Callithrix jacchus: one gene and its partners. The protein of the gene in region 5 interacts with the protein of the main gene of each other region in a biochemical or structural test. Links are inferred from orthologs where the notes say so. Each region holds a gene or a part of one and is shown on either strand. Other genes may lie near its edges. The genes, in order: CFTR, PTH1R, SLC26A3, PDGFRB, NHERF2, KCNJ1 and PODXL.

Evidence for each region.
Region 1: the proteins of NHERF2 (region 5) and CFTR form a complex in vitro, tested with the Homo sapiens proteins (4 studies listed by BioGRID and IntAct, with this or other methods). The link is inferred for Callithrix jacchus from reciprocal best matches to the Homo sapiens genes NHERF2 and CFTR.
Region 2: the proteins of NHERF2 (region 5) and PTH1R interact in a test that uses a peptide from one of them, tested with the Homo sapiens proteins (2 studies listed by BioGRID and IntAct, with this or other methods). The link is inferred for Callithrix jacchus from reciprocal best matches to the Homo sapiens genes NHERF2 and PTH1R.
Region 3: the proteins of NHERF2 (region 5) and SLC26A3 form a complex in vitro, tested with the Homo sapiens proteins (2 studies listed by BioGRID and IntAct, with this or other methods). The link is inferred for Callithrix jacchus from reciprocal best matches to the Homo sapiens genes NHERF2 and SLC26A3.
Region 4: the proteins of NHERF2 (region 5) and PDGFRB form a complex in vitro, tested with the Homo sapiens proteins (2 studies listed by BioGRID and IntAct, with this or other methods). The link is inferred for Callithrix jacchus from reciprocal best matches to the Homo sapiens genes NHERF2 and PDGFRB.
Region 6: the proteins of NHERF2 (region 5) and KCNJ1 form a complex in vitro, tested with the Homo sapiens proteins (2 studies listed by BioGRID and IntAct, with this or other methods). The link is inferred for Callithrix jacchus from reciprocal best matches to the Homo sapiens genes NHERF2 and KCNJ1.
Region 7: the proteins of NHERF2 (region 5) and PODXL form a complex in vitro, tested with the Homo sapiens proteins (3 studies listed by BioGRID and IntAct, with this or other methods). The link is inferred for Callithrix jacchus from reciprocal best matches to the Homo sapiens genes NHERF2 and PODXL.

Annotation. Positions count from the first base shown.
Region 1 is NC_133512.1:88,177,877-88,181,376, reverse strand, and holds part of CFTR (cystic fibrosis transmembrane conductance regulator), read right to left. Parts: intron 2,605-3,500; coding exon 2,518-2,604; intron 1,017-2,517; coding exon 293-1,016; intron 1-292. UniProt on the Homo sapiens protein: Epithelial ion channel that plays an important role in the regulation of epithelial ion and water transport and fluid homeostasis. Mediates the transport of chloride ions across the cell membrane.
Region 2 is NC_133516.1:29,559,163-29,562,662, reverse strand, and holds part of PTH1R (parathyroid hormone/parathyroid hormone-related peptide receptor), read right to left. Parts: intron 1,896-3,500; coding exon 1,793-1,895; intron 1-1,792.
Region 3 is NC_133512.1:78,234,584-78,238,083, forward strand, and holds part of SLC26A3 (chloride anion exchanger), read right to left. Parts: intron 3,333-3,500; coding exon 3,263-3,332; intron 3,170-3,262; coding exon 3,077-3,169; intron 1,211-3,076; coding exon 1,115-1,210; intron 493-1,114; coding exon 262-492; intron 1-261. UniProt on the Homo sapiens protein: Mediates chloride-bicarbonate exchange with a chloride bicarbonate stoichiometry of 2:1 in the intestinal epithelia. Plays a role in the chloride and bicarbonate homeostasis during sperm epididymal maturation and capacitation.
Region 4 is NC_133503.1:48,826,062-48,828,821, forward strand, and holds the end of PDGFRB (platelet-derived growth factor receptor beta), read right to left. Parts: intron 2,600-2,760; coding exon 2,410-2,599; 3' UTR 501-2,409; downstream 1-500. UniProt on the Homo sapiens protein: Tyrosine-protein kinase that acts as a cell-surface receptor for homodimeric PDGFB and PDGFD and for heterodimers formed by PDGFA and PDGFB, and plays an essential role in the regulation of embryonic development, cell proliferation, survival, differentiation, chemotaxis and migration.
Region 5 is NC_133513.1:4,726,674-4,730,798, forward strand, and holds the start of NHERF2 (Na(+)/H(+) exchange regulatory cofactor NHE-RF2), read right to left. Parts: upstream 2,801-4,125; 5' UTR 2,683-2,800; coding exon 2,470-2,682; intron 1-2,469.
Region 6 is NC_133511.1:28,537,697-28,541,834, forward strand, and holds KCNJ1 (ATP-sensitive inward rectifier potassium channel 1), read right to left. Parts: upstream 2,738-4,138; 5' UTR 2,715-2,737; coding exon 1,596-2,714; 3' UTR 501-1,595; downstream 1-500. UniProt on the Homo sapiens protein: Inward rectifier potassium channels are characterized by a greater tendency to allow potassium to flow into the cell rather than out of it.
Region 7 is NC_133512.1:115,698,188-115,701,687, reverse strand, and holds part of PODXL (podocalyxin), read right to left. Parts: intron 1,094-3,500; coding exon 479-1,093; intron 1-478. UniProt on the Homo sapiens protein: Involved in the regulation of both adhesion and cell morphology and cancer progression. Functions as an anti-adhesive molecule that maintains an open filtration pathway between neighboring foot processes in the podocyte by charge repulsion.

The DNA of each region.
Region 1 (3,500 bases), on a different chromosome or scaffold from region 5:
TAAAGCAGGTGCTTTCTAACTTATAGTCACGATTATCACTGGCTTTGTAAAGGACTCCAAACTAAATCCTTTCCCATTTCATGGGAAGAGATATGTCCATTGCAAAAAGAAATTATTTGTTATTTTACATTTTAAAGTTGCTTGCATAATTAATAAACTTCATACTTTCTGAGTTTTAAGACAAACCTTATCCTAATCTCATAATTTGAGTAAATTTTGTTACATGCTACATATTGCATTCTACTCAACTGCACTCTGGGGGGTGAAGTACCCGCAAGCAATTTATACTGACCTTTAAGTCTTCTTCATTAATTTCTTCACTTATTTCCAAGCCAGTTTCTTGAGATAACCTTCTTGAATATATATCCAGCTCAGTCAGGTTTGCCTGAGGGGCCAGTGACACTTTTCGTGTGGATGCTGTTGTCTTTCGGTGAATGCTCTGACCTTGGTTAACTGAGTGTGTCATCATGTTCAGAACAGACTGTCTCCTTCGTACCTGAAGTGCGGGGCCAGTGTTGATCACGCTGATGCGAGGTAGTATTGCTTCTCCCTGCTCAGAATCTGGAACTAAGGAGAGCCTTCTCTCTAAAGGCTCATCAGAATCCTCTTCGATGCCATTCATTTGTAAGGGAGTCTTTTGTACAATGGAAAATTTTCGTATAGAGTTAATGGAATTGAGAATAGAATTCTTTCTTTTCTCCCCAAACTCTCCAGTCTGTTTAAAAGATTGTTTTTTTGTTTCTGTCCAGGAGACAGGAGCATCTCCTTCTAAAGAGAAACGGCGTAAGGTCTCAGTGAGGATTGAATTTCTTCTTTCTGAACTAAATTGGTCAAAAGAATCATATCCCATGAGTTTTGAGCTAAAGTCTGGCCGTAGATTTTGGAGTTCTGAAAATGTCCCATAAAAATAGCTGCTACCTTCATGTAAAATTAGTATTTTGTCAGCTTTCTTTAAATGTTCCATTTTGGAAGTGACCAGAATCCTAGTTTTGTTAGCCATCAGTTTACAGACACAGCTTTAAGAATATAAAAAGATATAAATATCAATTTTATAAATACTTTATTACAATAATGTCTTGCATTTTAGCATTTTATTGTTTTATTGCATATAATCTGTATTATACAATTTTATTATATTTTAAATGATTCTATAAGTACCCTGTAGTAATTAAATTAGTACCTTGTGAATTCTGATAGCATGAAATATCATGCTGTATTAAAGAAAAGTTGCATGTTAACAGACTGAGAATGAAATAAAATTTCCTATATTAAGCAGATATTTGGCTGTGAGCAAATCATTTATCCTCTGGGTCTCAGTTTATTTATCTAGAAAATGAGGAAAGTATTAGATGATCTTCAAGGTCCCTAGAGAGCTGTACTTCCATGTCTTTTAAATGTCAGAGTCTTATTGTTCTTTAAATTTTCTATTAATTTCTTTCTTTTTTTTACATTTTAGGTTGACCACCAATTTATTTCTCAAGTGCTTACATTAAAACTAATCTGTTTCACTAAAAATAAAACAGCAACAATAACTGAGAATTTGATAATTAATTTGACTCTCTTCTAATAAAATTTTCATTTATTCTAGAAGTAAATCCAGACTAGAATGATCTAAGAAATATCAGTTTTTTAGGCATTAAAATATTATATATCATATAGAAAGATACATCATTCTAGATTATTCCGTAACACACTAACACAACAATACAAATGCAGCAAGGTTTATATTAATATAGAAGTTACTTATCACAGTCACAGGGTTGTAAAAATAGTATCTTGGATATCAAATTTAACTAAATTTTAAGAAAAGTACTTCTAGGCATAATCCAGCCATTTTATACACATATCCATATTTATAGCTTAAAGTCTTTATTTCTAGAAGAGCATAATAACTGTTCTCCTAATAGACTACCTTACAGTCCATGGAATCATTTTAAAATTTTGAAGTCAGGTCATATAACTAACTGTCTGTCTAGGGAATATCATGTATATTGGACCCTAACGGTAGTTCCAAGGAAATATAAGTTCTGAGCTCTGTGTGACTGAGAAGGAGGTCCCCGAAGAAGTACTGAGGTAGATGAGTAGTCTAAGCATTCACCTACATTAAACCAGTAGCAAAACTAGCAAAAACATTTGGCATAGGCATTTTCTTAAGAAGTGTACTACTTAAGGAGAAGACAGAATAAAATACTAACACAAAAAAGTAAATGAAAATGTTAAGCATAATAATCAATTAAAGTAATATATGTCACAAGACAATAATACTGCAAAAACTACACAGATGGCAATTGCTATAACAGTATAGCAATGGGAAAAATTGGTTTAGCATGAAATGGACAGAAAAGGGTTTAATGGAAGTGATCTTGAATCTTGGCCAGGTAGGGAAGATCAGGCTTGAGTTAATACCAACAAGGGTGAACATATTTCTTAAGAGGTAAAATGTAGTGTATGATGGTACAGTCTTTCTTTCTTGTATTTTAGCATGAGCATTGTAAGTAAGTTATTCAAAAAACATACCTTTCAAATATTTCTTTTTCTGTTAAAACATCTAGGTATCCAAAAGGAGAGTCTAATAAATACAAATCAGCATCTTTGTATACAGCTCTAAAAGGAAAATGGAAATTAAATTACATTTCCTCACTATTTCCTGTATCTTTTAGTGTAGATGATTTTCCTTAAACAGTTCACTACATGCATTACAATATGGTCACCACATCCATTCACTGAAATAACACTATTCTCAAAACTGGTGCAGAAGTAGCACTTTTATACATGTCTTTTTACTAGGGTAGATTAATTTAAATGAGAAATAAAGGAATAAGTTGAAAAGATTTTTATCACTTTTCACAACATTCCAAGAACTGCTGACATGCTTTTGTTAGATGTAAGTGGAATAAACTAGCAAAAGTTACAAACTGAATTGTACCATAGCATACACTTTAAAATATGACCTTAAAAAAGAAAACCTTTTATCAATAGTATCTATTTAGAGGCCAGTACCATGCTATGTGCTCAAAATACAATGGCAAAAAATGATACAGTTCCTGCCTTCAAAGATCTTACATTTAGGTGAGGATACCAAGAAGAAAGTAGACTATTTCAAACTGTAAAATGTCAGAGATAGCTAATAAATTGCAGCATTTGTGTGAAATTATTTTTAAAATGTTTTTCTAAGTGTTAACTGCTATCAACAAATTGAAAGCAGTGCTGCCACAACTGTATAATCAATATCGCAATTTGTTCCTGTGGTTTCAGTCTCTGTATCATATTCGTAAAAGTTCCAAGTAAGTGTGAGTACTTCACAACAAAAGGTATACCCATAATATTTTACTATTTATATTTTACTATTATAATAGTAAAATATATGAAACTATAAGCTAGTAAAATATGAAACTATAAGCAAGTAAAATCTACATTTCATTGATCTTAGAACCATAATAAAGATGAAGACACAGTTTCCATATTAATAGAAATGGGATAATTTCTTCATAACACTTAAA
Region 2 (3,500 bases), on a different chromosome or scaffold from region 5:
GTAAGACAGCAGAGGTGGACTGTCCCACCCAGGACTCAGGAGTGGGGGCCAAGGCCACGCAGCAGTGAAGGCCCCACCAGGGGGCGCATGGTGAAAGCAGACAGGGGTGGAGGTGTCAATGGGCAGATCACACAGCGAAAACGAAGTCTGGCCTGAGTGCTGTGCAGGTAAAGAAGCTGGTGGAGAAGACAAGAGCAAGGTGGTACAGTCAAGAGTGGACAGAGGCCAGGCGCGGTGGCTCACGCCTGTAATCCTAGCACTTTGGGAGGTTGAGGCGGGCGGATCACCTGAGGTCAGAAGTTCGAGACCAGCCTGACCAATATGGTGAAACCCCGTCTTTAAAAAAAAAAAATCAAAAATTTCAAAAAAGAAAAAAAAAAAGAGTGGACAGAGAAGTCCACCCATCCCCTTCCCTGGACCTTGAATATGTGGTTCACAGCTTCCACAGCGGCCCTGCCTGGAGTGCAGTGATGTGATCATGAATCACTGCAGCCTCAAACTGCTGTGCTCAAGCGATCCTCCCACCTCAGCCTCACCTGTAGCTGGGACTACAGGTGTGCACCACCACACCTGGCTAATTTTTAAATATTTTTGTAGAGACAGGGTCTCACTATGTTGCCCGGGCTGGGGAGGTCTTTCTTCCTAGTCACAAAGTCTTCCTCATTTCTGACTTGCATTGCTTCAGCCACAGCCCAAGCTAGGGCCCCCTGGCCCTCCCATGTCGGGTCTGTGGCAATGATGGGAAGCTGAGTCCAGGCAGCCTGGACTGGGACGAGAATGACTGTGCTTATTTTCCTGCCTCCACCCTCAGCCATCAGTGTGGGGATGTGGGCAGCAAGATGGGGTAAAGTAGGAAGAGAGAGGCTCCATGGTGTATGGGGAGGGCACCCTTCAGGCTTCCACAACTAAGAAGAGGGGCTGGGTTCAGGACCCAAGCGAGGGGGTCCACCTGACCCCCCAGATCTCAATGCAACTGGGAGCCACTGTTGGGGCCAGCATGGGTGGGGCTGTAACTGCAGAGACCATGTGAGTCTGTGAGTGTGAGCAAAACCCATGTATGTGCCACAGAGTGTGTGTGTCATTGTGTGCTTGTGTTCTGGGCGTGCACCAGACTTGACCCCTGCAGAGCCCTAAGGGCTTGTCAGGGGAGGAAGCTGCCCTCTCCATCAGTCAGTTGGAGTCTGAGCCTTTTGGGTTGATGAGATTAACCTGACAGCCGTCAGTTTGAGCGCTAGTGGTAGACAACACAGGGACCTGAGCTTAAGATTTAGGACAAGCCAGGCTGGGCAAGGTGGCTCACACCTGTAATCCCAGCACTTTGGGAGGCCAAGGTGGGGGGATCACGAGGTCAGGAGTTTGAGACCTGCCTGGCCAACATAGTGAAACCTTGTCTCTATTAAAAATACAAAAAGAAAAAGAAGTTAGCTGGGCATGGTGATGGGCGCCTGTAATCAAAGCTACTCAGGAGGCTGAGGCAGGAGAATCGCTTGAACCTGGGAGGTGGAGGTTGCAGTGAGCCGAGATCGCACCATTGCACTCCAGCTGGGGGGACACTGTGAGACTACATCTCAAAAAGAAAAAGAAAAGACTTAGGACAAGCCAAGGACGCCCAAGCCTGCTGACTCCACTCCTGCACCACCCACCCCACTATGGTCCTCACTTTGGCCTGGTTCCCATTACCTGAGTCCACTCCCACAGAGAGCCTTCACCTGGCTCTGCATCCTGGGTCCCACCCTCAACTGGCCCCTCCCTCACCTGGTCTCATCCCCAGACCCCCACCTTTGACCCCCACCTGGCCTCTGCAGGACTTCCTTGAGCCGTTTCTCACACTGGGCCTGAGCACGGTGCAGCAGGAAGATCTGTTCCTCTTTAGTCATGACGTCATCTGCATCCACCTGCCAAGCCGAAGGTCAGACCACAGGCAGCACTTTCCAGCGCAGCAGGTCCCAGAGCCATCCCAATTTCCCAGAGTGATTACCCTCTTTCAAAAGGCCCTGACTCTAGAGGGAAGGTGGGATTTCCCCACATGTGGGAAATCTGCTCTATGGAGCTCCTACCTCACAGATGGGAAACTGTGGCTCTGAGGGGTGGGGCCTGCCTGATCCAAGGGAAGAAGGAGGGAGCTGTCTCCTGCCTGCCTGCCAGTAACCCTGTAGGCTGCAGTCACTGATACTTTCTGCCCAGTCCTTTCCCTAGGGGTTCATGGGACTGGAATGGAATGTCCCAGGATGGATCCACACAGGATCCTGGCTGCCTGCTGGGGACATGAGTCGGGGGCAGGGGTTGGATAAGGAGTCCTGAGCTCTGGGGAGACAAACCCAGCCTGGATTCCTTCAAGTTCTGGCACCCTGGGGGGGCCTTAGGAGTCACCAATTTCCATCTTGGCTCAGGTCCCCAGTCAGTGCTTTCCCCAGTGAACGGTGAGTGCCTCCCCTCCTTACAATCCCGAGAGGGAGAGGGTGGAGGAACTGCTGGCTGTGGCTGGCTGTGGTGGGTGGGAGTCCCTCTCCACTGCTGATCTGAGAATTCCCTCCATTCAAGCGGACTCTGAGTTCTGATGACACTCAGGCCCTCACTCCTGCTGTTCTCTGCCTGGAATGTCCTTTCCCTTCCTTCCAACCTGCACACCATGGGCCCTGGCTGCCACCCACCGGGACTCACTGGCCTCATTATAGGAAAGGACATGAAACATCATGGGGGTGGAGGCTCACTCAGAGCAGGTGGCTGCTGAGGGGTGTAAGCCTCTGACTTGGGAGGCAAGGAGCCAGGGTGAAGACAGCAGGGGAACAGCTTGGTGTGCCTGGCCCAGCTACTCCCATAAGTGTGACCTGCAGGGGTTAAGGCGGCCTCTGAAACCTCCCCAGGGCGGGGTTGTGAAGCCCTCAGCCCCAACCCCCTTAATTCAGGGCCATGTTTCCTCAGACCCCTGGGCCTGTATCCTGAGATGATCCCCTCCACCGGTCCCCCAAAAGGCTATGTCTCCTCAGCCCCCCGGGGCAGAGCCGCATCCTTCAGACCTGCCGTGGCGGGGCTGGGGCTCTGCAGTCCAAGCGTAGCTGTGCAAGGCGGGAGGACTCGGAGGGGGCAGGGAAGGAAGGAGGCGGCCAGGGACGGGGTGGGCGGGCCGGGTCAGGGAGCCTGGCTGCAGGGAGAAGTTAATTGACCGCGTCTCTTGGCGGCAGCAGCGAGGGCTTCCAGGGCCAAGGAGTCTCCAATTGGCTCTGCCAGCCTCGGGTTCTGCTGGTTCCACTTAGCGGAGCCGCATGCTCATCCCTGCGCATGCGCGAGTGTGGCCGGCGCATGCACTCGTGTGTGTCCATCTGTGCGCGTTCTCACGCGGGGACTGTCCGGCATGTCACCGTGGGACGCCAGATGGACGTGTTTGTGAGCGTGCACGTGCACAGGTATTTTTGGGCATAGGGCAGCGTGTGTGCGTCTGTGAGTGGGGCGGCAGCTCCTTAGCGTTTGCATCTGTGGGTGGCCAGTGGTTCTGTTGCCTC
Region 3 (3,500 bases), on a different chromosome or scaffold from region 5:
TTCTCCTTCCTCAGCCTCCCAAGTAGCTGGGATTACAGGTGTGTAAAACCATGCCCAGCTGATGTTTGTATTTTTAGTAGAGATGGGGGTTTCACCATGTTGGCCAGGCTGGTCTTGAACTCCTGACCTCAGGTGATCCACCCACCTTGGCTTTCCAAAGTGCTGGGATTACAGGTGTGAGCCACTGCCCCCGACCCACAAAAACAGTTTTTTAACCTTTAGCCATTGATTGGTTGTTTCCATTAAGAACAACAAAATTACCGATTTAAGGCCCCTCATTGAAGAAACATCAAGAAAGGACACTGCTGAAAAGTCGAGAATGAGGCTGTGGAGGCTGATTCTGGGGACCTCAATGTTGAGAGGAAGATCATTCCAGTCAATCTGGAAGGGCAGGTCTGTGGTACTGATCGGCTGGTTCAGTACTTCTATCTGATTGTTGTCCAGCTCTTCGTCAGAATCTTTTATGGCATCAACAGTGCATATAAATCCTTTCTGCAGGAGAGGATAACAAGCATGATAACTGTGACCAAGAAGAAAAACATTGTGTATGTCAGAGATAGCCAGTGAGTTTCAGAAGCACTGATTCAGAGTTGAGCCAAACAACGGGATTGGACTGGGTTTGGTGGTTCATGCCTGTAATCCCAACACTTTAGGAAACTGAGGTGGGAGGATCACTTGAGTCCAGGAGTTTGAGATCAGCCAGGGCAACATGGCAAGACCCTGTCTTTGTAAAAAATAAAAAAAATTAGCCAGGTGCGGTGGCATATGTGATTGCAGTTTCAGCTATTTGGGAGGCTGAGGTGGGAGGGTCCGTTGAGTCTGGGAGGTCAAGGCTGCAATGAGCTGTGATCACACCACTGCACTCCAGCCTAGGCCACAGAGCGAGACAATGTCTCAAAACAACAAGATTGTAGACACTTGTGTTTGGTACTTTTCCCAGGAGAGTCGAAATTTTAGGGAGACCCTCAGAAACATGTCATTTTAAAATAGAACATTCATTGACACATGAAATCCCTTGTTTGGCAATTCATTTAAAGGAATGGAACTAACACCTTGAATCATCCTTTACTGAGCTTTTAGCTACAATGCAGAGAAATGTGGTCAAGAAACTTACTGGTGTCACTTGTAGCAGGCCTTGCTTCTGCAGTTTTCGGATTTTCCTCAAAGCTTTGTTGCGCTTGCGTAGAATTCGAAGTGGATTAAAGCCAACCTGAGAAACCCATTGCTGTGTTACAAGAGTACTGAATATTCTATTATTTATATAGCATAATTCTAACAACTTTTACTGGAGTGATTTGAGGGATTGGGACAGATAATAAAAATATTTGCGACAAAATTTAAAAGTGGTTTAAACAACATCAGCAACAACTTTGTGTCAGACCCATGGTCTGCTCCACCTATATCCAGTTACCAACAGTCAAAAGCTTTTGTATGACACAGTCCAGGATTCATTCATAAATTATCCATGAGTAGACATAAACTCTATTTGAATCTGTTTGTGTTTGGAACCTACACAACTCTTAGGGGATTTTATTTTATTTATTTTCTATTTATTGAGTATGGGTGACACCTATGTAAGTATTCTGCTTCCATGTAATTTTTATTTTATTAAAATTTATGTAATTGTATGTTATTATTTTATAATTTAGTATTATGTTTGAAGTTAATCTTTATTTCCCCTTTTCAACCTAATGAGTTCTTACTGCTATAATATTTAGGTCCAGGTAAATAAGAGAGGAGGATCAAATTATGTAATAAAAAATCCTTGGCCAGATGTGGTGGCTAACACCTCTAATCCTTGCACTTTGGGAGGCCAAGGTGGGAGGACTGCGTGAGGCCAGGAGTTCAAGGCCAGCCTGGGCAACAAAGCAGGACCTTGTCTTTACAAAAATTTAAAAATTTAGTGTGGTGTCATAGCACATGCCTGTAGTTCCGTCTACTTGGGGGACTGAGGCAGGGGACATCACTGGAACCCAGGAGTTTGAGGTTGCAGTGAACTGTGATCATGCCAGCCCAGGTGACAGAGCGAGACCTTGTCTCAAAAAAACAAAAAAATCTTGTGGTGGCTCATGCTGGTAACCCCAGCACTTTTGGAGGCCGAGGCGGGAGGATCATGAGGTCAAGAGATCGAGACCATCTGGCCAACATGGTGAAACCCCGTCTCTACTAAAAATACAAAAAAATTAGCTGGGTGTGGTGGTGTGCGCCTGTAGTCCCAGGTACTGGGGAGGCTGAGGCAGGAGAATTGCTTGAACCTGGGAGGCAGAGGTTTCAGTGAGCCAAGGTCGTGCCACTGCAGTCCAGCCTGGTGCCTGGTGATGGAGTGAGACTCTGTCTCAAAAAAAAAAAAAGATCCTTGACAAAAAATAAAGTTACATGGAAGTTTACTAGAGTAATCAAAAGGGGCAGTATAGAAAACCAAATAAACAATATAATCTCATTTTTCAAACAACAACAACAAAACTGGGTAGAAAAATATCCGATGCATATCAAACTAATAATAATAATTAAGGTTTAAGGCAGAAGCTCTATGCAAGCTACAGAGTAAACCAAAAGGCATGTTTCAAGAGTGAGGACTGAGCTTTTTGTCTTAACTGTCAAGACTGCTTGCTTCCTTGTCATCATCTCTCCAGTTTGCCAGGGACACTCAGTATTTATTGTTATTTAGTATTAACCATTCATTTACAGCTGCTATACTGAATTTCTTTGATGATGTGATCAAATATTAAATGGTCCCTCATTGTTTCTAAAGTTGATGCCCAAAGAAAATCTGTAGGATGACACCTGTTAAAAGCCAGCAACCCAAAACATGGATTTTTTTTTACTCTACAGCAGAGTTTGAGAAAAGTATTTTTCTATATTAGATGTCATCTGAATAGGCTTATTTCTCAACATATTAACAAACTCCCATAAGGTAGTTTCACCTGCTCTGGGACATGGGACAAAAAACACTGGTGCAACCCCACCTCAACATATGTGACACAACCCAGCCTCAACAATGACCTTACAGAACAAACACATTCCTAGATATTCAGTAAGATTACAAGAAAAAAAATTAAATAACCCCAAACCTTACAGCATCGAGAAGTTTCTGCTTAAAGAAACCAATGTTTGCAAAGTAGATAGGAGATGGACATCTGAAAATTTTCACTCCTTCTGGCTCATACATCTATAAGGCAGAGAAGTATTATTAGATGGTGCCCATTAGATCCATACTTAATATCATTTAGCAAGTCAAAGAAAAAAAATGAATCTCCCTTACATCCAAATAATCTTTTTTATTCTTATAGATGTTGCTTCTTCCAATATTAGCCAGTGTGCTGCATTTTGGACTGTAGGGAGAAAAACAAGTAAATCATGCACATTTGTTAGGCCTATAAAGCTAACACTGATTTTTTCCAGCATACCAAAACTGGCTCACTTTTCAGAATGTAAAAGGTTGGGGAAATCATCATGCCATCAGAGACACTGGAAGGGAACACTCTGTTTTACTTATCTTT
Region 4 (2,760 bases), on a different chromosome or scaffold from region 5:
GCTCTTGGGCACTCTATCTGCTGCGCTCCTACCTGGGGCCTGGAATCTGAGTGATGACTCACGTGGACTTGGAATCTGAGCTCTGGCAGCTGCCTGTCACAGGTTGCACTGGCCTCAATCTGGGCCTGTGGGTGCACTGGAGGGGACAGTGTCCCAGCTGATAGCCAAAGCCAAAGCACAGGGTGGGGGCAGTGAGGCTCAGCACCAGAGCCTCCAAACAGCCCTGCAGCCCCACACCCTCCTGCCCAACTCAGGCCAGGCTCCGTGGAGCCAGAAAAGCCTGCCTGTTTTTCACCTTGGGAAACCAAGTCCAAGGTCTAGGTGGCCCAGCTCCTAACAAGGGGTTGGAGAGTGAGTATCCCCACTTTACAGATGAATGTAATGAGACTCGGAGCTGAAGGGATCTGTCTGGGGTCCAGTCTGAGTGAGCTGCATGTGCCTACTCCAAACTCCCCATCCCCCAGGGACAGGAACCCAAACCTGAGCGATACCACAAAGTCTGTGAGTGAGAAGCACCAGGTTTAATATTAAAATCTTTCCCTTAAAAAACCATACACAGGTAGGAAAACTTAACAGCATACAAAATAGCACTTCTGCTGTATAAATGTGAGTTAACGTGAGTCCTAAAAATACTTGTAAACCTAGGTGATTATATCTTTGGTACCGTATTGAGAGCCCACTCTCCCTCCTTGGACCAACTTTGGGGATCCCAGGGAAGTAAGGTGCCAACTTGCAATGCAGGGCTGGTGCCCAGAAGGGCTGAGCTTCCTGCGCTCCTTTCCCAATCCTTCCTGTGCCAGGGAGTCTTGGCTACAGCCCTTACTGCCCTGGCACCTCCAATGCCCACTGGGCTGGGGACAGTGAGATGTCACTGCTAGGTCTGGGCAGTGACAAAACCATACCCCCATGAAGTACTGCCTCAGGGATGGGGCAGCTGGTGGGTGAGAAGGAAACCCCCAAAGTGTCCACCTCTCACATCCTTCTTGGGGTACCCGTCTGAAGCTTCTTGTCCTTTACAAGATATAACTATCTTTACCGTCCCTTCTGTCTTCGACACAGACCTTGGCGCAGGTGCTGGAGTGGTGGGCTGCAGGAGGTGATCTCATTTGCCCTCTTTGTCCCTTTTGCCCAGGATACCCCTGGAAGTCATTGTGGGTAGTGAAAGAGGTCCCACAGTCTTCCCATGTCCCTGGGGCAGCTGCTGGGGGCTTTTCAGGACACTGGCTGTCACTCTAAGTCAAGGTCTGGGCAGCTGCATTCTTGAGACTTGCTGGGGTCCTGGGGAAGGGGCACGGTTCCTGAGTCATCAGAGTGTGACGTGTGGTCTGAAATCTCCCAGGAGCCCAGCTGACCCTCAGGATTGAAGTTTAAGGTATATGGCCTTGCTTCATCTGGACAAATGTGTAACCACCTGGAATAGTCTAGAATGTTAGTGCTGGCAAGGCCGTTGGAGTTAAGTCTGACTTGTTCGTTTTTCAAAGGAGAAAACCGAGGCCCAGAGAGGGTGAGGAATTCCTCCAAGGCCTCATAGCAGGTCCAATGCAGAGCCAGGGACACATACTGGCCACTTCACACTGGCACATCAACATCCTCATCACAGATGCGGGGCCGATCAGTCCCTGCAGACTCTGGTAGATGGATTAAAACTGAGGGTGATAAAGAAAAAGCCCCAGGACTGATGGCCCTGAAGGACAGAGACGCGGGCACTTGCTATGGCCAGGTGCACTCCAAGTGCCCTGGGCAAGGGCGGCAGGCTGGGGGTGTCCCGTACTTGGCTCAGCCTCCAGCATTAATTAGACTGCCTAATGGCCCAGACCAGCTCAGGCCAGGGAAAGCAGAGACTGGCAGCATAGGGAGGAGACTAGCTTTGTTGTGGATGAGACAGCACTGCCCAAGTCTAGGCCCCAGCTTAGCCAGCAGCCAGCGATGCTAGGGTCCCTTCCCTAGCTCCTGGGTGGATAAAAGTGCAAGGAGAGAGCTATGATTCCTTTAGGGGTAGCTGGCTGGACAGAAAAAAGTTAATTTACCACCTCAATAACCCCAAGGAGGGAATCCCCAGGGTGGGATTCCACCTCCCCACCTATCAGCCAGAGAGAGAATCCTAGATTCTGTGTCACCTAGCCCAACTTTCCCATCTTACATATGGGGAAACTGAGTCCCCTGGGGGAAACCCTGGCTCAGAGTCACTTGGCCTTCCCGGAGGCAGAGGGCTGGTTGTGGCCCCTGCAGTTTTCTTGCCTCCTAAGCCAGCCCTAGGGTTTGGGGCACAACATGTCAGGAGCAGAAAGCTTCCAGAAGGGGACAGCTGATAAGGGCTGACAGGAGACCCAGCCAGGCCAGGCCAGGCCAGGTGGTGCTGGGTGCTGGCAGAGGGGGAGCTTCGGGCAGGGCAGGGTGGGGGCCAGCCCCCTACAGAAAGCTATCCTCAGCTTCTGGCCTAGGTGCGGGGCACCCTGAATCCGGCGGCTGCTCCAGCTCGGGCTCTGGGTCCGGCTCCACCTGGAGCTCAAGCTGGGGCTCTGGCTCTGGTTCCTCCTGGGGCTCCAGGGGGCTGTCACAGGAGATGGTGGAGGAGGTGTTGACTTCATTCAGGGTGGAGCTAGAGGAAGGAGGCAGTGCGTGAGGGCTAGGAAGGAGCCCACGAGGATGATAGCAGCAGCCATGAAGGGCCTTTGGAGCATCTGCCCCTGCGCCGTGGACTTTACACACTCCGGCTCATTTAACCCTTGTGAAAACTATGCAAGGCCTGCACTGCATGGA
Region 5 (4,125 bases):
CTCTGCCTCTGGGCTCTGGACACTAAAGCCCAGGCTGCCAGGGCTTCAGGGTCCTCCCAGGGCCTTGCTCTTAGCCCTGGGTCTTCTCCAGAGGGGTCAGGAAGGGGCTGCAGGGTACGGCAGCTGGGGAGTCCTGTCCGGAAGTGACAAAGATGGTGCCCAGCTGAGCTTCAGCTTTTCCGTCTTCTCGTGCATGCGTATGCGTGCATCCGTTTCAAAGATTGTATTTCCCTCCGCGTTCGAGGAAGACGAGGGTCTTCCTGGGCCCCAGTTTGGGTGTATCTATGCCCATTCCTGTCACTCTCTGCCACACAGTGCGGGAGTCTAAACCCCTGACCCCAAGCCTTGCATCTGCCTGCAGACCATGACCATGAGCCCATTCCCGTGGGACCTGCGGAGATGGAAGAGCTGGGCTCCTGGCTCAAGGACCCACACATAGCCCGGGAAGCAGGCAGGACTGAGCTGCAGCCGTCGAGGGGGAGGGGCAGGTGCACCTGTGGACAGCTGTGGCATGGCTGTCGGCGTGTGCGTGCAGGTGCCTGTGAAGTATCTGGACCACACAGGGGGCCAGCATGCACCCTCAGAGAGAAAGCAGTGCCCACTGGGCCGTGGGGAGGAGGAGGGGCAGCCCCACTTCCACCTGCTGCCTGTGGGAGGGTAGACAGGGCTCCCTACCAGCTGCCGGGCTCAGCAGGGGTGGTGAACAGATACGAGGGGCCGAGACAGGCCCATCTTCCCACTGGTCCTCCTCTCTCCCCATGAAGAGTGAGGCAAAAGGAACCCAGGGCCCAGCTGTTTCTTGACTATGTGTCCCAGACCAGTCACCCCAAATCACCAGCATCACTTTCTTCTCCTGTCCCATGAGGCTGTAACTGCCCCTCTTGCCCTCCTGGGGCAGAGGGGAGGCTCCGCCATGACCTGTGTGTCCAGTCCTTGAGACCAGCACCCCAGGGGCCTTGGATAAGCAGATGTTCCCAGGGAAAAGGTGGCAGTGACTGTCCCCTCACCCTGCCAGCCACACCTTCGGTCCCTCAGGCCCAGGCCCCCAGCCTGATCCCCACCTTCTTCAGCAAACAACCTTACACAACAGACACTCTGGATGGGAGGCAGGGGCAAGCTGCAGAGGAATGGACAGGTACTGGGTGAACAGGAGACCAGCTCCAGGCCTAGCCATGAGCCAACCTGCTATCTCTTTTTTTATTTGAGGAGTCTCATTCTGTTCCCGAGTCATCTCAGCTCACTGCAATCTCTGCCTCCTTGGTTCAAGCGATTCTCCTGCCTCAGCCTCCCAAGTAGCTGGGACTATAGGCGTGCACCACCACGTCCGGCTACGTTTTTGTATTTGTAGGAGAGTCAGAGTTTCGCCCTGTTAGCCAGGATGGTCTCCATCTCCTGAAATCATGATCTGCCCGCCTTGAGCTCCCAAAGTGCTGGGATTACAGGTGTGAACCACCTCGCCCGGCCCCAACCTACTAATCTCTAGGATCCAGGACCAGCCATGTAGACAGGATTTGCTGGTGCTGTGAGGGACAGGGGACGTGGAGAACAAAGGGTGTGTGGACACTGGACTCCAACCAGGGTCTGGAGTGAGTCCCTGGCCTGTGGGAGACAGACAGACTCAGGGGTCAGAACCCACAGAGAAAAGGCTCTGTTCGCATTGGCCAGGAGGCAGGAGGCTTCAGCCAATGTCCCGAGCCAAGCTAAGCAGCCTCTTAGGAGGGGCAGTGCCTTTGGAGCTAAGGAATGTGATTGCCACCAATGGCCAACTCCCACCTGTCCCAGACACACCTGGCTGGGACACACAAGAGTATGGACACACAGACTCACCAGCCTGCAGACACACAGTGACAAGCATACAGGCCAGGCATGCAGACACACAGGCTCACAGACACACTCATGTTCACACACAGAGTCCAGCGCTCACACGACCAGGAGTCTAAACCTGTACACACACACACACACGTGTGCAGACCTGGATACACGCACACTCCGGCACACACACAGGTGCAGACACACTGATGCCCTTAGCAGTCCCCTCCTGGGTACACACAGGCAGGCGCGTGCACACATGGCTGACCCCAGAGGGACCTGCACACACACACCCAGCTGTGTTCACACACACACGTGTACACACACACCCAGGCAAAAGCACCCAGGTCTCCACCTTCCTTGAGGGGCCCCAGGCTGCCTGACACCCTCCTTCATGGCACACTGAGGCCAAAAGGCAACCAAACGGCGAAGCCAACGGCCAGGAGCCGCAGTGCGGGCCCCTCCCTGCCAGGATACACCCCCACCCCGTGCAAGGCTGAGCTTCCTGCGCCGGGACTGGGAAGGCGCCGGGCCACTGCCTCCCCGCAACGTCCGCGTCCTCCCCGCGGGACCCCCCTCGGGCCCCGTGCGACCCCCGCCCACCCCAGGGAGAAGTGCTCGTGGAGGCGTGGGCGGACCGGGGCAAGCTCGGGCCCCCACCTGGTGGTGCGTCTCGCTCTCCACGTTGACGCCGTTGACCTCGACCAGGCGGTCCCCAGCGCGCAGCGCGGCGGCCTCGGCGGGGGAACCGGGCTCCACGCGCCGGATGAACTGCCCGCGGCGGCCCTTCTCGCCGTGCAGGTGGAAGCCGTAGCCCTGCTCGCCGCGCACCAGGCGGCACAGACGCGGCCGCAGCGGCTCCGGCGCGGCCATGGCGCCCGCTGCCCACCGGCCGCCCGCAGGCAGGGGTGCAGGGGAGCTCGGGGGCTGCGGCGGCGGCTTCGGCAGCTCCCGCTCGGCTCCCGTCGCCTCGGGCTCCGGCTCGGGCTCCGGCTCGGGCTGCGGCACCGCCCCCGCGCCCGCCCCTTCCCCGCCCCCGCCCCCGCCGTCCGGCCGCCCCCGCCCCCGTCCCAGCCATCCCGGACAGGCCCCTGCCTCTGCGCCCTGACAGTCCAAGGGGGTGCGGGGGGAGGCGGCAGGGCCAGGGGACCCCTCTGTCTCGCCCCTACTCTGGACGGCCGCCCGGGTGCCAGCGCCTCTGCCTTCTATTCCAGGAACATTTACTGGAAACCTACTGTATGCGCAGCACCGAGGCAGGTCTTGAGGTGGGTGACGGGTTGGAAAAAGGGTCTCCAGGCCAAAGGACTCCCCCCACAAAGGGGCCAAAGGGTAAGAACGAGGGCCACGGCCCTCCACCCTCCCCAGGTAGCCCTCCCCGACCCCCTTGCCTGTCTCCTCTAGGCTGTGCCTGATCCGGATCCCTCCTGCAGCCAGAGCTGCCCTGGGACAGGGCAGCGGCTCAGGAGGGCCCAGGAGGCAAAAAGAGGGGTTTAAAAGTGACACGCAGCAGCCCCTTTCTGCACCCTGGGGGCCGGTGACTGGGAGACTCCCTGATCTACCCACCGTGTTTCGGCTATCTGCACCAAGTCCATTCCTGAGCCCTCCCCCCATTATTTCCCTTGGCTGGGCCCCCCTCACTTGTGTCCCAGCCCACCCCAGGCCTGGACTGTGACTTTACAGTCACAGGCTCGGATGAGGGTAGGGGAAGGAGTCTCAAAGGTCTCTGCTACCCGCTCCTGACATGGGATACACTGCACTGAAGTGTCTGAGCTCTGAGTTCTGAGTGGTGGCCACTGTCCACAGGCAGACCCCTGTAGGCCTCCCCTCCCCTGGCCCACAGCCTCCACCTGAAGCAGGAGTGTCCCCCTTCCCCAACAGAACAATCACCATCACAACAAAATCATTTATGGCTGAGTGCATTTACCTGGAACAACCCTAGGGGTCTGGCCACTTTACAGATCTGGAAACTGAGGTCTGAAGAGGGAAGAGACCCACAAAGTTTCCTCAGCTCCATTTGGGCCCAGGGATGTGAGATTCAGAGTCCATGCTCTTCCCCACCCAGCTCTTCCTCAGTCTCCAATGTGGGAAGGCAGCTGAGTCCAGGCACAGCCCCAGCTTGCCCTCCTCCCCAGTCCAGCCAGGCCCCCTACACATACCTGGTTCCCAGGAGTTAGGCACAGCCAGCCCAGGCAATTCCCCATGTGGGCAGGAGAAGCAGGCTTGGTGCAGTCCTCCTCTCCCTCTCCTCTCTCCAGTGCCCTCAGCCTAGGCTCCCCTGCCCCCGCCCAAGCACAGGACCCGCCTCTGGGCAGCCTC
Region 6 (4,138 bases), on a different chromosome or scaffold from region 5:
AGAGGCTACATCATGAGAGCAGACCAGCAGAGAATTCCAGCTCCCTCAAGCTTGTGATACCTGATTTCTTTCTGCCGTGCCAGCACATTAAATTGTGGTGCCAAAGCACTCACAGGCACAGAGTGAGAATTCCACATGGGCCAGCTGTGCCCACGGTTATGGCCATTGACAAGGTATGCAACCTTAAACCCATCAGAATCCCCACTGTTCTTAGGACCAGAGTGGTACACGGATCCATACAAACACAACCCAGGCATGGAACTGGCAGCTACCGGTTTATGTGCCAAGACTCACACTGGGGAGGCGTGATGGAGCTCTACTGGCAGAGGTGTGTCTGTGGGCAGGGTCATTTCCTCCTGAGGCCTAGAGACAACAAATGCATCCTATGTGCTTCCTCTCCACTCCTCCCACCTCTTCCAGGAGAGGATCCTCTCCGCAAAAGGACATTCACCAGGGGCCTAACTCAGTTAACGCACAGTAATAATATTAATAAAAGTGCATGCACAGTTTCGGAAATTTAATATATGAATCAACACGCTGAAAACATTTTGCTTCCTAAGTAGCTTTGAGTACCATTTTTTTCCAGGACACATTCAAAATGATGCAGGTGGGGACCTGAAGAAGACTTTCACAGTAAAACCTTATCCTCAAGGTCGATCCTTCCATAAGCTGGTCCCTTTTAGGAAGATGGGCTCTCAGGGAAAGAAAAGCCTAGTAACGTTCTGACTGTGGGGCTCCATCCCATTCCTCTCTCTTTCCCACTTCTTTAGAAATAGCATTCCAGCACAAACTCTAGGTGGAGAAACTCATGAAACTTTCTTCTCAGGTGCATTAATGATACATTCCCTTCTCTACTGACTTTGCACCTTTGAACTCCTCATTGCTAACTTAGAAGAGCAGGAAACACTCTCTTTAAATAGATGTATAGTCCCTGAAGCCATCCAATACAGATTGAAAGAAATATCATCGTCACTTTTAACTAAAGCATTCTGTCTTGCAGGAAGGTATCATCAAGGTTCTAGCGAGTAGATTTAGCCTCTGTCTAAATGTAACACATGAGAAGATTCAAGCCTCAAATTGTTCTTTGTGTAAGAATTTTCTTATTGTCATTTATTGGTTGGTTCGTCTCCCCAACTTAGGAGACAATTTTTCCATCAGTAAAATTCCACATTAAAATGAAAGTGGAGTCTTTCTTAACAGCAGAATCAAAATGAGATTATTATTATTCCCAGATCCTTTCTAAAGTTCATAACTTCTTTAAGAAAACTTTAAAAAAAATTTTTGTTTGTCCTTTCCATGAAACTTCTGATAATTTTGTCTGCTCCCATCAACTCTACATGAACTCAAATAATCATATTGAAGATTTCAAGTGAGCGCCCATGGCTTCCATATGCCAGTTTCCTATAAATGCATGGTACGTTCTAATACAGTAGCCTTGTAGAGATGCATGTCTTGTGGGATCACAACTGCAGGGCTCAGGGGTCCTTGTGCTGGTAGACTTTGAAGGCTCTCATCCTACTTTTGTACCCCTAAGTTGTTGACTGTTTCACTAGAAACTTTGGAGACTTGGCTTTACTCCTGTTGAAAAGCCATTGTTACATTTTGGTGTCATCTGTTTCATTGACTTCTGACAAGATGAAGCTGGGGTTGTCATAGCCTCTCTTCATCCTGGCTCTAGCATCTTTCTCATTATAAAGGCACATGGCACAGTGAGGGGTTTCCACTTCCACCGTCTTGCTAAAGTTATGGAAATCCACTCGGTATTTCCCTTCTTTTGTCTTGGATACTATGGGAGCAAAACGGTAGCCCCAAAGCACCTCCTCTGGGACATAGGATGTCCGGACTTGGCAGGTAGCACTGGTTGACTCCACGGTGCCATCTAAAAACACCACTAATTCAAAGTCCTGCTGGAGAAGGGTCTCTGCTGCCATGTGGAAGAAGGGGCTATGGTGATCAATGACGTGGTAAATTGTCAATGGGGAGATGAAGAATAAATTTTCATTCCCGGCATCAACTACAAAGTTGATATTAGTCTGGTCCAAAATAATGGTTTCTCCTTCAGGAGTGACTGTGGTCTTCAGAAGCTTTCCATATATGTGACTGCCGATAAGAAGACTCTTCCTCAGATTAGCCACTCGGATTAGGAGACAAAGCTTCCCTCCCCGTTTGCTGATCACCGCGTTCTTGCTAAACATAATGGTCTTGGCACGTTTTTTGGGCCTGGAAATCTTGGCTAAGATGGCGCCACACATGAAAGAATTGATCATAACTCCAAGTATAGACTGAAAGATCAGCAGAAAAATGGCAGTGGCACACTGTTCTGTCACACACCTGAATCCATATCCAATGGTCACTTGAGTCTCCAGAGAAAACAGAAAAGCTGAGGTCAAGCCATTAATGTTCTCCACACAGGGAGTGTGATTGGCAGAAGGATGGAACTCTGGGAGGTCTTTGTGAATGTATGCTACTGCGTACCACAGGAGACCAAAGAAAAACCAACTCCCCAGAAAGGCTGTGATGAAAATGGTCATTTTGTATCTCCATTTGAGGTCAAGTATCGTTGTCCAGATGTCCACAAAGAATATAAGCCTCGACTGTGCCTCCACATTGCCAAATTCTATGTTGCACCTTCCGTCTTTGGAGACTAGTCTTGCTCTTTGCCGAGAATGCCCGAAAAAGCGAGTGATGACCCACTTCCGAAGATGTTTGAACATACTTTCCGTCAACACCCTGATCTGAAAACACATCAAAGGAAAACAAAAAAGGATTATGTTTGTAGCAATAGTGAGCTGGGTGACTCACATAAAAGATCTAACTATGAAAAGATCATTCAAAATTATCTGGGTTACTAATCATTTGTCAAGCCGACAGGTTTGTTCTGGATACCACAATGCTATTTCTAATAGAAACTTCCCACTGGAAGACCATGTCACTCAAATATAAAGAAGCAAAATAAGTATAGAGAGTTAGAAATAGAAGAAAACTAAGAGATCATATGTTTAAGTGTTTCCTGACCTCAACTGGTCTCACGTAACCTTAAGAATGTTCACGATAACCAATTATGGCCTGCAGTTTTATTTATTGAATATTATTACTTAAATCAACTTCTCGTAAGTTTAGCCTTCTGCTAAGCAATGATTTCTGAAAAATCACAAACTTGAAGCACTGAATGTATTTTCTGAAATACAGGAAAATAAATAACTGATCAAGAAAACACTCATCAATATACTACCTAATGCACTTCTGTTGTACTTCTGTTGATACTCATATATCAAGAAAAATTCTAATTCAATTCAGTTCTCTCAATTTATCAAATGAGAAAACTGAGATTCAGAAAATTTAAATGACTTGTCAAAATTCATGTACCTAGTCAGCGGCAAGATGACAACTAGAATATAGGGCTCCCTACCTCCAGTCTAAGGGAGCTTCTACCACTCCATGTCTCCGTTATCAAATGTCATATTATAAAGTTACATTTTCCTAAAATATTTTAGACAAGTATTGGTCATAGTTCTTTTTTTTAATGTTCAACACTATTTAGAAGAGAGCTCAGATCCAACTAGACGGTCTCCTAGGTCTTCTCCATAAATGTACAAGCCTGTTCCTACCCTCTTTCCATGGTTTCCCAAGATTCCCAAAAGGAATATTATGAGGGCCACCATCAACGTCTCACACTTCCTTTCTACTCCAAAGCTGGACGACTGGGGAGCACTGGTTTAAATAATACTCCATACAGACAGACCATACTTTATTCATTCCTGTATCCAAGTTGCTAGGACACTCTATGAGTGTCTACTGTTTAACCAGTAAACGTAAATAAAACAATTCAGTGAATGAATTACATTTTTCAAAATCCTGTTTGCTCAATTGGTTTTTTATAGATGACAGTACTGTGACTTCCATTTTACAGCAAAATCGTGAAGGGACTGTCCCATGAACAGCCAACAATGGCAAAACCCAAGGTCAAAAACGCTGGATTACCTCCTCCTCGATGCCCAAACATGTCAAGGTGTGCCACCATGGTCAGCAGTGTCTTCAGGGTATTTTTCATTAAATGCAAATGTGTTTTTAAAATAGATTTCAAAATCCCCCTTGAAAAATATGTTTATTCGTAAGAACTAGGAAGCGAAACCAACTT
Region 7 (3,500 bases), on a different chromosome or scaffold from region 5:
CAAGCTGGCCAGGCTGATCCTGAACTCCTGACCTCAGGTGATTTGCCTCAGCCTCCCAAAGTGCTGTGATTACACAGTGTTTTACCCTTCACATAGATCTCCATTTTCCAGTTGAGCAACTATATGAATTATAAGTGCTGAAAAGTATAATTTTTTGAGACAGAGTCTTGCTCTGTCACCCAAGATAGTGTGATCTCAGCTCACTGCAAACTCTATCTCCTGGGTTCAAGCAGTTCTCCTGCCTCAGCCTCCTGAGTAGCTGGGATTACAGGTGCCTGCCACCACACCTGGCTAATTTTGTATTTGTAGTAGAGACGGGGTTTTGCCATGTTGGTCAGGCTGGCCAGACCAGTATCGAACTCCTGACCTCAGGTGATCCACCTGCCTCAGCCTCCCAAAGTGTTGCAACTAGTGGTGTGAGCCACCACACCCGGCCCTAGAGTTTCTTTGTGCTTAAAGAAAACCAGGCATTACTTACGTAGGGTGGCGGTCATCCCAGGGCTTGTGAAGGTGTGGTCAGTGCCAGCCGCAGTGCTTGAACCACTTGAAGCTGTCATAAGATGGTCCTGTCCCGAGCTTGTTGGGGTGGCCACAAGATGCATCTGAGTGGGTTGGGGGGTGCTAACTGGATCTGTAGGCTGAGGGGTCGTCCGATGTTCTGCCTTAATGGTTGTGAGGTCTATGGTCACATTGTGGCTACTTTGGTCCCCAGATGTGGCTGGATCTTTCGCTCCATCCTGGCTGGTGGTGGCGTCAGGTTGAGCTGTGGTCGTGAAGGGTGCAACTGTAGTGCCAGCTGTATCTTTCATGCCCTTGGGATCATCGCTGGTGGCAGGAGGGCTGCCTGAGTCTGCTTTTCCAGGCACGGTACTGGTCACTTTGTCTTGCTGAACTGGGGCTGCAGTTCCTGAGTCACTGGCCACATTAGTGATGTTCGCCTTGACCGGGGCCTTGGGGGTGAGGACTGTGCTCTGCTGGACTGCAGCTCTGGCCTCTGTGGTGACAGCAGCTGTTGGAGCCTGGTCCTGCCTGCTGGAGGCTTCTGCTGCCATTGGGGCTGTTCCGTTGAGTGAGTCATTAGCATGTGAATCTGCTGTTTGCAAAGACAATACAGAATGGAGTTAGGGCTGGGAGGCTCTCTCACCATGCTTCTCCAGCTCTTCCCCAGGATTCAGAGGCCTTGCTGAAGGCCTGGGTCCTCGGTGACTCCAGATTTTTTTCTTTTCTTTTCTTTTCTTTTTGAGATGGAGTCTTGCTATGTCACAAGGCTGGACTGTAGTGGCATGATCTCGGCTCACTGCAACCTCCACCTCCTGGGTTCAAGCGATTCCCCTGCCTCAGCCTCCCAAGTAGCTGGGATTACAGGCATGCGCCACCACACCCAGCTAATTTTTGTTGTTTTTTTTTTTTTTGAGACGGAATTTCGCTCTTGTTACCCAGGCTGGAGTGCAATGGCGTGATCTCGGCTCACTGCAACCTCCACCTCCTGGGTTCAGGCAATTCTCCTGCCTCAGCCACCTGAGTAGCTGGGATTACAGGCATGCACGACCATGCCCAGCTAATTTTTGTATTTTTAGTAGAGACGGGGTTTCACCATATTGACCAGGATGGTCTCGATCTCTTGACCTCGTGATCCACCCGCCTCGGCCTCCCAAAGTGCTGGGATTACAGGTGTGAGCCACTGTGCCCGGCCGACTCCAGATTTTTCTGAGGTTCAAGAAACCTCTAAGAGGGGAGTTTAGAGTGCAGCAGGGTCAGAAAAGCAAAATGCTGCCAAAGGAGAGGGCCAGGCCAGTGAGGCCCCCACACGTGGAGGCTGTCGTACGCTCCCTGTCTGCCCTCCCTGTCTAGCCCCACACACATCTCCCTCAAGTTTCTCAATGTGCTACCCCTGAACCGGCTGCCAGGAACATCTCTGTCTCCTCCTCTCCAGCTCCCAGGCACGTGGCCCCACCAAAGATTCCACAGACTAATGCTCCCTGAAGTGCCCTGGCCCTGTGCTGAGCTTAAGCAAAAAACACATGGTCCCTGTTCTCATGGAAGTTAAATCCAGAAGATGAAACGGATGATAAACTGAAGTTACACAGAGCTGTGCCCCGACTGTGCAGCGCGGCGGCTTCGCCGTGCCAGGGGCAAAGGGAAGGAAGGCTTTGTTTAACGAAATAATTCTTGAGGAAACAGGTTCTGTGTCAGGCAGTGGAGACACAACAGTGAACGTGACACAGACTCTCATACCCTCAAAAAGGCTACGCTCAGTGGGGGAGACAGAGACTAAACAGGGTGGTTAAATCTGCTTACCAGATGGAGGAGGCAAGGAAGGAAGTGGCGCAGAGACCCACGGCGAGGGGAGCGAAAGCATCTCTGCAATGATTGTTAAACTAAGCCCGGAGGATAACAAGGAGAACAATGTATGGAGAATGGGAGGAAAAGTGTTCATGGCAGAAGGAACAGAATCTGCAAAGCCCCAAGTAGAGAAAGGAGCTGAAAGAGGACAAGCAGGAATGGAGTTTGGTGAGAAGGGGTCAGGCACAGGGCTGAGAAAATGCAGGGTCTTATAATTACACTGACAGCAACTAAGCGTCCAAACCAGACATTTTTGAGAGTAAAAGGCTCTCTTAAAAATCACATCCAACAGGGCGCAGTGGCTCACGCCTGTAATCCCAGCGCTTTGGGAGGCCAAGGTGGGTGGATCACCAGAGGTCAGGAATTCGAAGCCAGTCTGGCCAACACAGTGAAACCCCGTCTCTACTAAAAATACAAAATTACCCGGGCATGGTGGTGCGTGCCTGTAATCCCAGCTACTTGCAAGGGAGGCTGAGGCAGGAGCACTGCTTGAAACTGGGAGGTGGAGAATGTACCACTCTGTACTCTAGCCTGGGCGACAGGTGAGACTCTGTCTCAAAAAAACAAAAAACAAACAAACAAAAAAAACAACCACATCCTATTGGGCCAGGTACAGTGGCCTATGACTATAATCCCAGCAGTTTGAGACCAGCTTGGCCAATATGGAGAAACCCCGTCTGTACTAAAAATACAAAAATTAAAATTAGCCAAGCAAGGTCGCGGAGGCCTATAATCCCAGCTACTTGGGAGGCTGAGGCAGGGGAGTCACTTGAACCTAGGAGGCAGAGGTTGCAGTGAGTCGAGAATACACCACACTGCACTCTAGCCTGGGCGACAGGTGAGACTCCGTCTCAAAAAAATAAAAATCATAAAATCACATCCTACATAGAATGAGACATAAGATCACCTTCCTCAGAGGCCAACATGCAGATTCTGGATTTTATTCTAGCTGCAAAAAAGCAGCCAGGGAAGGCATTAAAGCAAGGAAGTGGTATAGGATGACTTACAAAGAAACATGTTTCCGCCGCTTTGGGGAAAGCGGACTGGAAAGAGGAACGTGTGGAAAAGGGAAGAGAAGTCTGGAGGCAATTCCAGTAATCCAGTGGCATGAACGGGGCTGGCCACAGGATGCTACTGACACTGGGGACAAAAGGTGG